Neurospora crassa OR74A: one gene and its partner. The protein of the gene in region 2 purifies or fractionates together with the protein of the main gene of each other region. This does not show direct contact. Links are inferred from orthologs where the notes say so. Each region holds a gene or a part of one and is shown on either strand. Other genes may lie near its edges.

Region 1 (4,433 bases), on a different chromosome or scaffold from region 2:
CAGGCAAACTCCAGGCAGTTCCCCCAAAATGATAAGTAGTACGTCAGCCCCCTATTTCTCTGGCAAGCCTTTATGGGTGAGCGTTGGAGTCTGAAACAGACTAAATCATTCTTTATTATATTCCCTTTCCATCTTCCATGCTTTCATGCACTTCGATTGGTGTTGTCTATGACCTATATCACCTATCAGCGAGGCAGTCGCATTAAACATATCTGTTGCACTGGAGAGAATTAGACGCTGGCTTTGTCTCAGCCAACTGTGCTTTCGAGTGTTAGTTGTACCAAGGACGGGTTTCGGACCGGATTATGTGTGTAGGTGGGTTCGAAAAAAAGAACGAGAATCATTCCACTTGGGCTTCCAAGCTGGACTCACTACTTACAAGCTTGTTAACAATCTCAACGTGAGTACCGGCTCTTCCCCAGTCATACCTATCTCCCATCATCCATCTCACCGTTGATTAGCATTCGCAATCTCACACATCTTCTCGACCATCATCATCTTGGTTGACTTGACCGGGCACACACTACGGCACCCAAGACCAGAGACGAAGCAAATGTGCACCTACAAGACCCACATCCGCGTGTGCCGCCGGTGCAGCAGCGAGGACACAGTCCTCATTTCAGAACAACTCTGTTCCGTAGCCAGGAACAGCGGCAGCGGCATCTTTGGCTCCTGCCTATCCGGGGTTTCCGGCCAACGAGATCAGACGGGGTACAAGTGCTGGCAATGCCAGGACGAAGCAACCCTCCCGGCATCCCGGTCTCGAAGCAGTAGTGGCAGTGGGAGTAGCACCTCGAGTGGCAGCACAGGCGGAGGACCAAGGAGGAGGGGGAGCAGTGTTAGTGTTAGTGTACCCATTGGAGCGCAAGGTGTGAACTCCATGTATGGATACAACAACAATAACAACTATCACCATGGAGTTGGAGGGGGTGGTGGCAGTGGTGGTGTTTATGACAGGGGGCAGCAGCAGAGACGGATCTCGGTATCAGGACAGACGACGACGACGACGACGACATTGATGATGTTGCAAGGACAAGGGAGGGAGTACGTGCCTGGACCGGCAGCATTACCGGTATCAGAGCAACAGCAACAGGGACAACAACAGGATCTCGAAAGGAGGTTGAGGAGGATGGGGAAGATGAGGGCAGACTTGGGGAGATATGATGGGCGGTTCATATAGATCAGATTGTTCGCGTGGGTATTGCTGGCATTGGTCATGTCATTTGTCGTATCGATCCGAGGCATCCAAGGCACTCGGTTCCTGGCAGCCATGTTTGTTAAGTGTGGATCCAGTCGAGCCGATCTGGACCCTGGAACAGAAGAATGCTGGACCCTTTACTTGTTGGTAGAATAGCTAGAACTTATAAAGGTGTTAAGTGGTATGGCGTTGAGGAAACAAATCGTAAAAGCAGACCATCAGTTCCGTATATAGTCGACTAAAATAAGCTATTGATGAACAATTATCCTCTGGGCGCGATGTGAGTAGTCGAAGATGGAGCTGGAGGTAGGCCGCCCGTTGTTACGCGCACCTGAACCTCAACTGAAGACTGACAAAATTTTAGTGGGTCCAAAGCGTCATTGTGGGGGAACTTCCGCTAGGTGGGAGCTTATCGGCTGGCGCTACGCTTTATCGATGGGGTTCTTGCCTCTTGTCCCCGCAGCCGGGGCCTCATTGGATGGTCTGTGCTCGGCATTTTTTTGCGCTAGCTACTGCAGAGCTTTTGAAGATTTCTGGAGACGGGACCACTCAGCTGCTCTCGGCACAGGTTCGTGGAGCTTTCAGCGAGCGGATCCAATGATCAAAACCATCCATCGTGGATTGTCATCGAATTTCTCCATCACTCACGTTACCCATCTTTTCGTCTCGCTCCAGTCTTCGTCCACTCACTTACCCCAGCTTCCGTCCTCGACAACACTCCTCTGTCCCAACGCGCAACAACACGATCGGACCCGAATTTCCAATCTACAGTCAACAAACTACCCCCCACCAAATCCGTCAAGATGATGTCTCTTCGTGCTGTCGCGCGCACCACTGCGCCCCGTGCTCTCCGTGCCGTCTCTGCTTCTCCCATCACCCTCGGCCGCGCCACCGTCCGCGCTACCAGCAACGTTCTCAGGACCCAGCTCCCCCAGAAGGCTTTCTCGACCACCGTCTTCCGCGCTGCCGCCACCGAGATCGACTCTGAGCTCTCCGAGAAGCTCTCCACCGAGATTGGCTATGAGCAGGACATTGCCTCCAACGAGCCCGTTCCCGCCACCGTCAAGGATTTCCTTGAGAACGGCCCCTTTGAGCTTGTCGATACCCCCGGCAAGGAGGACGTTGTCCTGAAGCGCACCTTTGGCAACGAGCAGTAAGTTGAACCCCCAACATGACTTCGATCAAGAACCATGCGCTGACCAAGGTACGCCAGGATCACCATCTCCTTTTCCATCGCCGACCTCCAGAACTACGAGCCTGGCATGTTCGACGAGGACACGGCTCTCGGTGACGAGGAGGGTGCCCAGAACGAGGAGGACATGGGTGAGGACGGCGGCGCTCCCGTCCGTCTCAACATCGTCATTGAGAAGCCCAGCAAGGGTGCCCTCAACATCGACGCCGTTGCCCAGGACGGCTCCATTGTTGTCGACAACATGTTCTACTACCACGACGCCAAGCTCGCTCACGGTGAGAGCGCCGAGACCCAGCACGCTGCCCAGGCTGTCTACCCTGGCCCTCCCTTCGGTACCCTCGACGAGGATCTCCAGGTCCTCATGGAGCGCTACCTCGAGGACCGTGGCATCAACCAGGCCCTTGCCCTCTTCGTTCCCGACTACCTTGACATGAAGGAGCAGAAGGAGTACCTCAGGTGGCTCAACAACCTCAAGGGCTTCGTCGATGCCCAATAAATGGGGAGAGATGAGATACTGTCACGAGGAATGGAAAATCCAACAAGGAAAAGGCGAGAGGATTCGAGGCTGCGGGACGGCTTTTTGATTCCGCAGCTGATGTATGACATGTACCTGTAATTATATCCCACGTTTGATATCACGACTCCATACCAAAATTTGTATAATGCAACAGAAGCCGATGGGAACGGGTTGTGTAAGGATGAAGATGCTGTAATAGGACCAACGTCCAAGTGGACAAGACAGTTTTTAAGTTGATACAGCACCAGAGATATGACCGCAAAGGGTCCAAGTCATGAGGTGGTATGGCAAATCTTGCCCATTCTCGTTCTATGCCATGCTACCCTTGCTCGCCTTGGAAGCCAGCGGTCATGCCATTGGTTGAACTGGGGTCACTGATCTTTTAGCCCAGCTGAATCGAACTTCAACTTTGTCCATCTCCTTTCTCCGTCTTACCTTTTTTCCGTTGCAGAAACATTATACTTTGTCAGAATGTGCTTGTGATATGACATCTTTCTAATCAATTTTTGCGTTCGTTTCCGAGGATTCCGGTTACATTCATTTCATTCGTACATTTTGTCCTTAATTCACGCAGTCACTGCAACTCAATATTCGCATTGTGGTGAACATCTTGCCTCAGAACACCATCAAACTGCAGACACGCAGTCAGAACCCGCTACTCAATACCTAACCTTTACAAACGCCTCTAAATAGCACCGTTGATATGACTACAACATGGATCTGAAACACGCACACCAGGCCCAGTACAGCGGCGTACACCAAACAGACGACGATGACGACTATCATCCCCCCCTACCTGTCTCGAGTTCCTCCCGGACCCAAGCCAACGACGACCACCAACCATCAGAAGACGAAGAAGCCCAACTGCTATCGACAGAAGACTACATTGAGCAATTCGAATTCGACGACAACACCGACACATCATCGCCACCTTTCTTGACGACCAAACACTCGAGATCTAATGCCAAATCCCGACTTTCCCCAATCTACCGCCTCTTCACCTTCCTCTCTGGCTCCTCCCACCCCCACCGGCAAACCCTCACCCCTTTCCTGCTTCCGTCAATCCAATCGCTTCCCCGCCTTACACTAGAACGCCTCCTTTCCCATCCATGGCAGCGCGCCGCTCTGTTATCTACCGGTCTACTCCTTTGGCTCACCATTCTTTCTGTTTCCCTGGTTCAGTCCAAGGGTACTCTCCTCTACGCGGATGGAGAGGAGGGAGGAGAGGTAGTCAGACACCTAGACTGCGTCTCAACCTTTTGGGGACCAGGCAACGAGTGCGGCGTCGACGGCGAGCGGTGCAAGCCCTTTGGGAACGTCAGCTTTGCATTTCGTTGCCCGGCGGATTGCAGACAGGTTCAGGTGCTGAATCCGAGGTGGGTTGGGGGGCAGGAGGTGGTTTATAAGCCTTGGGTAATCGGTGGCGGGGATTATGGAGATGGTTCTGCTGCTGGTGGTCTAACTGCTGCCAGCACGGAGACGGAGACGGAGACGGGGACGGGGACGGGGATGGGGACGGAGACGAG
Region 2 (5,277 bases):
AACTTACTCGTTGTTGCGGTCACGGTTGTCGCGACCACCACGGCCGCCACGGCCACCGCGGCCACCCCTTCCACGACCACGGCCACCCTTGAAGCCGTTTCTCTGGTCGTTATCACGACGCGACTTCCAGTCACCCTTGTCACCACCGCTGCGGCCGCCACGTCCGCGGCCACGTTCGGCACCCTTGATGCTGCCCTCGAAGAAGATCTTTTTCTTGCTGGTGCCGGGCTCCATCTTGCCCTCCTTAATGAGCTGGGTCTTCTCGTCCAGGTAATCCTTCTTCTTCTTGATGACGAGCTCTTGATCCTGCCACTTGGGGGCGGGGTTCAGGGCAACAAAGGCGTTGGCTTCGTCTTCCGTCTTAAACTCAACGAAGACCGAGCCCTTGAATTTGTTCTCCTCGTTACGCCTCAGCTTGACCAGGTTGACCTGACCAAACTTGGTGAAGAAAGCCTCGATGTCGAACTGAGTGGATCCGGTCTCTTCGCCGAAACCCTTGACGTAAACGCTGGCAGCCAGACGGGCCTTTTGCGCATCAGAGGACGAAGTGTAGGCCTTCTTGCGCTTGACCGTCTCCTGGCCCTCCTCGCCAGACACATCCAAGAAGGCGCTCTCCTTCAACGCGGCGACGACGGCCGAGTAGGGCTGGAACATCTGCATGCGCTTGAAGCTGCAGATGGTCTTGAGCGAAACGGGCTTGTTCTCCACGCCTCCGGTCGTCTCCCACATGAACTTATCGGTAGGGAGGTTGCTGTCGCTGAAGTAGAACTCGACCTAAGACTATTTGTTAGACACGGGGACACGCAGCATGCCAACTGTTTTTGTAGTCTGATCGTACCTGGTTGCGGATCTTGACGGGATCGTCAGTGACGGGCTGGGTCGAAGGATCGTATTTCCTGTTGTTCTTGTAGTCGGCGCGGTCGATAGACTTGGTAGCCTCAGGCTTCTTCTCCTCCTCCTTGCTGGCATCCTCAGTCTTGGGAGCCTCCTCGGCGGCGGGGGCAGCCTCCGCGACGGGGGCCTCTACAGTCTCGGTTTGGACCTCGGTCTGAACATTCTCGACGGCAGGCGCAGCCTCAGTGTTGGCGGTGGTATCGCTCATGATGAAGGTCGGAGTGGCCTGTAGGTATTTGAAAGGGTAAAGTACAAGCGGCTGTAAAGGCAATTGACCGTCTAACGTGACGCGCGTGCACGGAAGAGAAGAATGGATGTAGATGGCCGGGAGAGAGATAATGGTGAACGGATGATGAAAATGCAGAAAGTGCACTGGAGACCGGGGACCAAGCAGGCAAAACGACGAAATTATTTAGTGGGTCCTTCAGGTGCACTCCAGTTTTGGGGCGGTAGGCGCAAAATGTTATTGCAGGGTGCAGTGGGGGAATGGTGTTGGGTTGGTGCAGGGTTGATTGTTGATCGACGCGACAGGAAAGTCGGCCATTCACCAGCAAATCCCAGGACGTGTGTGAAGTGTAGAGGTAGTCACGTAGTGTAAGTCAGGTAGGACCTCGATAATTCTGAACTGTAACACACACTTCAATTCCCTTGTCAAAGATCGAGAGTTTGATTCAGTCTTGTCCATCCATTACTGAGCTCCCTCCCTCCATCATCATACAGCAGCGTAACCCATCTGCCCTGACTTTTTCCAGGGTCTGTCGGCATTGGAGTCATATCGAGGACTGCACTTGTCAAAACCTCCCCCTCAGCGCAAAAAAATGGAAGCGGCGAAACCAAGCAAGCAACCAAATCAGCCCCACCCAGGTCCAAGGGAACCGCCTTTGGGTTTAGACTTTTTGTGCCGATTTCTACCGCCTGGCTCTGCTTCTAGCCCCACTCCACTTGCACCCGCAATCCGCCAAGAGGTTGCGGAGCTATACCGCATGCGCTCTAGCTCCCGCATCCTGTGCCTGCCAGTTCTCCACCATCCGGCCTGGAGTTGACGCGCACAGTGGCCCGAGCTTCTCACGTGAATGCGACCAATGGGCGAGCGCGTGCTCCAATTCGGGTCTGAAATAATTTTCGGAGGACGGCGCCCGATAAGAGGTGGAAGGGCCCCGGGAAGCTCCCCTCGTTGGCAGTGCTGCTAGGTGCCCCGGACCGCTCCGGACTCGACAATCTCCAAACAACCTGCGCCGAACCGGTCCGTCCACTTCGCCAAAAGCACGGGGCCTACAGTCCGATCCGATCCCCCGAAGCTCCTCCAAACACACCACACCCAACATGAAGATCCGGAGGTTGTTCAAGTACCACAGTTTGAAGAAAAAGGTATGTGCTATTCGGTGTTTTATGCCGCCGTCGCCGGGTTTGCCGTTGGTCATCGTCGCCGCCGCCGCATCATCACCCCATTCGCCCCATTACCTACTACCTGCCAGTCCCATTGCCACGACACTCAACACCCACCACACGCGATCATGCTGACGTATTTTGTGTGCGCTTCTTCTTCTTCCGAATAGCCCATCAGGCCGACATGGAACAAATATAACCTGTACAACCTGGCTACGGCCGGGAGAGAACCCAGAATCAGCGGCAAGACATTCTTCCAGCAGAAATGGCTCGCCAAGTCCTTGACACGAGCATACCACGGCGAGCACATCAAGGAACGCAAATGGGCGCGCATGTTTAGCCGTCGCCTACCGGCCGTCGTCAACATGGACCCGGCATACATGGCCAAATATAACGGCAGCGAACAAGCCGCCGGCCGCGGTTCCGGCCTCTCAGAGCCCCCAGCCTACGAGAAGACCGCCGACGAGAAACCTGCCAAGCAAGTCATCGCCAACCCGGGCAGGAAGGTTCCCACGCCGTACGAGCAAATGACCTTTGCGCCTCTCGAGAGACGCCTCGATATCGCCATATTCAGAGCCCTCTTTGCCAGCAGTGCGAGACAGGCCCGCCAGATGGTTGTGCACGGTGCCGTCACCGTCAACGGCAAGAAGGCATGTACACCATCACAACGTTCCAATACCGAATCCCACAATACAGTGCACCCATGCCAAAGCTGCTTGTTTCGGCGCTAACATTACCCGATCCTTTTGCAGATGAAACACCCCGGTTACCTCCTGAACCCTGGCGATCTCTTCCAAGTCGACGTCGAGCGCGTCCTCTATGCGACCGGTGCGCCCAAGGACAAGAAGCTCCTCGCCGCGGCTATGAAGGCCGCCAAGAAGGAGCTTGCGGAGGAAGCACAGGAAGCCGCCGAAGAGAAGGATGCGGAGGCCGAGGAGGCCGAGGAAGGAGAGGCACAAGAAGCAGCCTCCAAGTCCGGCAAGAAGGAGAAGCAAGTCGACACCTCCAAGTTCGACGAGGCCTGGAACCGCAAGTACGAACTCCTGCAGCTCCAACGTCTGCTGCAGTACGCCAAGCACATCGCCGACTCGCCGTCTCACCAGCTCTCCGCGACGCGCAAGCAAGCATTGCGCGCTTTGAAGCGCGACATCAAGGCCGCCATCAAGCAAGCGCAGCGGCGCGACGGGTCCGTTTCGCCAACCGGTAACGTGGTGGACGACCTGACGATGCTTCTCGAGCGCCTTGCGGTCTCCCCTTCCAAGGCCATTCAGCAGGAGGAGGCGGCCAAGGAGCTGAGCAAGAAGCTTGACAAGCAGTCGCGCCAGGTGCTCAAGAAGGTGATCGAGTACAACGACGAGCACGAGGACAACGAGATCGACCCGAGCAAGCCGTACATGACCCCCTGGAGGCCGCGCAACTACATGTCCGCTTTCGCGTTCATCCCCCGCTACCTTGAGGTCAACCAGAACATCTGCGCGGCCGTCTACCTCCGCCACCCCGTGGCGCGCCCGGGCGAGTCCGAAGTACCGTCGCCTTTCTCCCCCACTATCAACCAACTCGCGTTCAACTGGTACTTACGGAGAGGTTAAAGGAGGTCTAGTTAGGAGCGAGGGAATGAAAAGGGGAGATGGAGGGAGGAACGGCAGTCACTCTCTGCCGTCTCAGAGCGGTAGAATTCGCCAATGGACGATTAGAGTCGCGCGCACCCAGTTTTTTGCATGTCGCGGGTACGCTCTATTGTGCTTGTTGCATCTTCAAGGCAACCTCGGATGATGTGATACTCTGCACCTGCTGCGGCTTCAGTTGGACCATGCGTTGGAAATCGGGTTCGGTCTCGATGAGAAAGCTGCGAAGTGGGCGGCAAATCTCGCGATTCCCGGAGAAAAAGGAGACGGGGATGGATCATGCATGAGATGAGTTGACTTCATACGTATTTTGGGCACATTGCGCGTAACAGTTTGTTCGTTCCTCAATACCCGAACAATCTGTTGCAGACTCATTCAGTTCGCCCCCTTCGGCATCGATGTACGCTACATGTATCATTACCACTATTAACTAAATGGATATAAAGAGGGGCATAGACAAATTTCCTTCTTCTTTGCGTAAGAAAGTCATGAGACAGATGAGAACCACCGAGACACCTACGGTCTCCTCTCTGAAAGCTCAGTGCTTATATAGTAAAATTGCCAATCATAGCATTGTCGATCGAGAGGAGCAGTGCAAAGGTAAACACTTATCACTGAGGAAGACGGCAAAATTCGCCTTGAGAGCGCGAGAGAGAAAAAGGCTAAGAAATAACTATCTAGGAGAGGCTAAGTGTACGTTGAGTGTGTGTATGTTTTATGTGGTAAGCAAGAACCCTCCGTGGCTGGAGAGCGAAGCACCAGTTGAGAGAATCGGCCGGAAATGTTGGGTTGGGTATGACCGACCGTAAACCGTGAAAAGAAAAACCTCCTACAAGAATTCCCCGTGAAATAAAAACATCTGATCGCCGATGAAAGCAGTTAATAAAATACATGTGTTGTTGGGATATCTGGTCGTTCGTTGCTTTTCGTCCAAGTGAGATTTCCCGCCTGTTCCCTTACGCCCCCTTTGCAACTTGCATATGGTGCAACGTCGCGAGCACAATTCAAACCCGACTCCTTCTGATCCCTCTATGAGCTTCTCGGTTGTGAATTGCTCCTCGCTCCCGCCAGCCACAGCATCCTAACCGACTTGTCAGTCATGGTGGCAGCCGGAAACATGATGTTGCCGACAGTCGGTCAAGAAGACAAGGGCAAGCAGAGCCGCGAAAGGGAGTTGAGGGCCTGATTGCTGCTGCGCCGCAAACATCTGATGGGGAACAGCCAACGAATTATCTCTCTTTCTTCTCCCTCATATTTTCGGAACTCAACTCCCTAAAGCAGATAAGAGGATATATCTGTTGGAACCATGCTGCCATTGTGAAGTAAGAGATTCTCGAAAAAGCTCCTCCGGCCCAATTACATCTGCATTAGC

The links. Proteins that work in one complex are often made in the same cells at the same time.
Region 1: the proteins of NCU08296 (region 2) and NCU06086 purify together in Saccharomyces cerevisiae (affinity purification with mass spectrometry; 3 studies listed by BioGRID). This does not show direct contact. The link is inferred for Neurospora crassa OR74A from reciprocal best matches to the Saccharomyces cerevisiae genes NAM9 and MAM33.

Annotation. Positions count from the first base shown.
Region 1 is NC_026507.1:1,859,293-1,863,725, forward strand, and holds NCU06086 (regulatory protein suaprga1), read left to right. Parts: upstream 1-1,798; 5' UTR 1,799-2,001; coding exon 2,002-2,351; intron 2,352-2,411; coding exon 2,412-2,886; 3' UTR 2,887-3,104; downstream 3,105-4,433. Other genes in the region: NCU17215 (hypothetical protein), read left to right, coding at 554-1,180; NCU06085 (LCCL domain-containing protein), read left to right, coding at 3,622-4,433. UniProt on the Saccharomyces cerevisiae protein: Not known. Binds to the sorting sequence of cytochrome b2.
Region 2 is NC_026504.1:2,501,413-2,506,689, reverse strand, and holds NCU08296 (mito ribosomal protein S4), read left to right. Parts: upstream 1-2,028; 5' UTR 2,029-2,217; coding exon 2,218-2,262; intron 2,263-2,450; coding exon 2,451-2,930; intron 2,931-3,032; coding exon 3,033-3,869; 3' UTR 3,870-4,413; downstream 4,414-5,277. Other genes in the region: NCU08295 (RNA-binding La domain-containing protein), read right to left, coding at 8-774, 839-1,102. UniProt on the Saccharomyces cerevisiae protein: Component of the mitochondrial ribosome (mitoribosome), a dedicated translation machinery responsible for the synthesis of mitochondrial genome-encoded proteins, including at least some of the essential transmembrane subunits of the mitochondrial respiratory chain.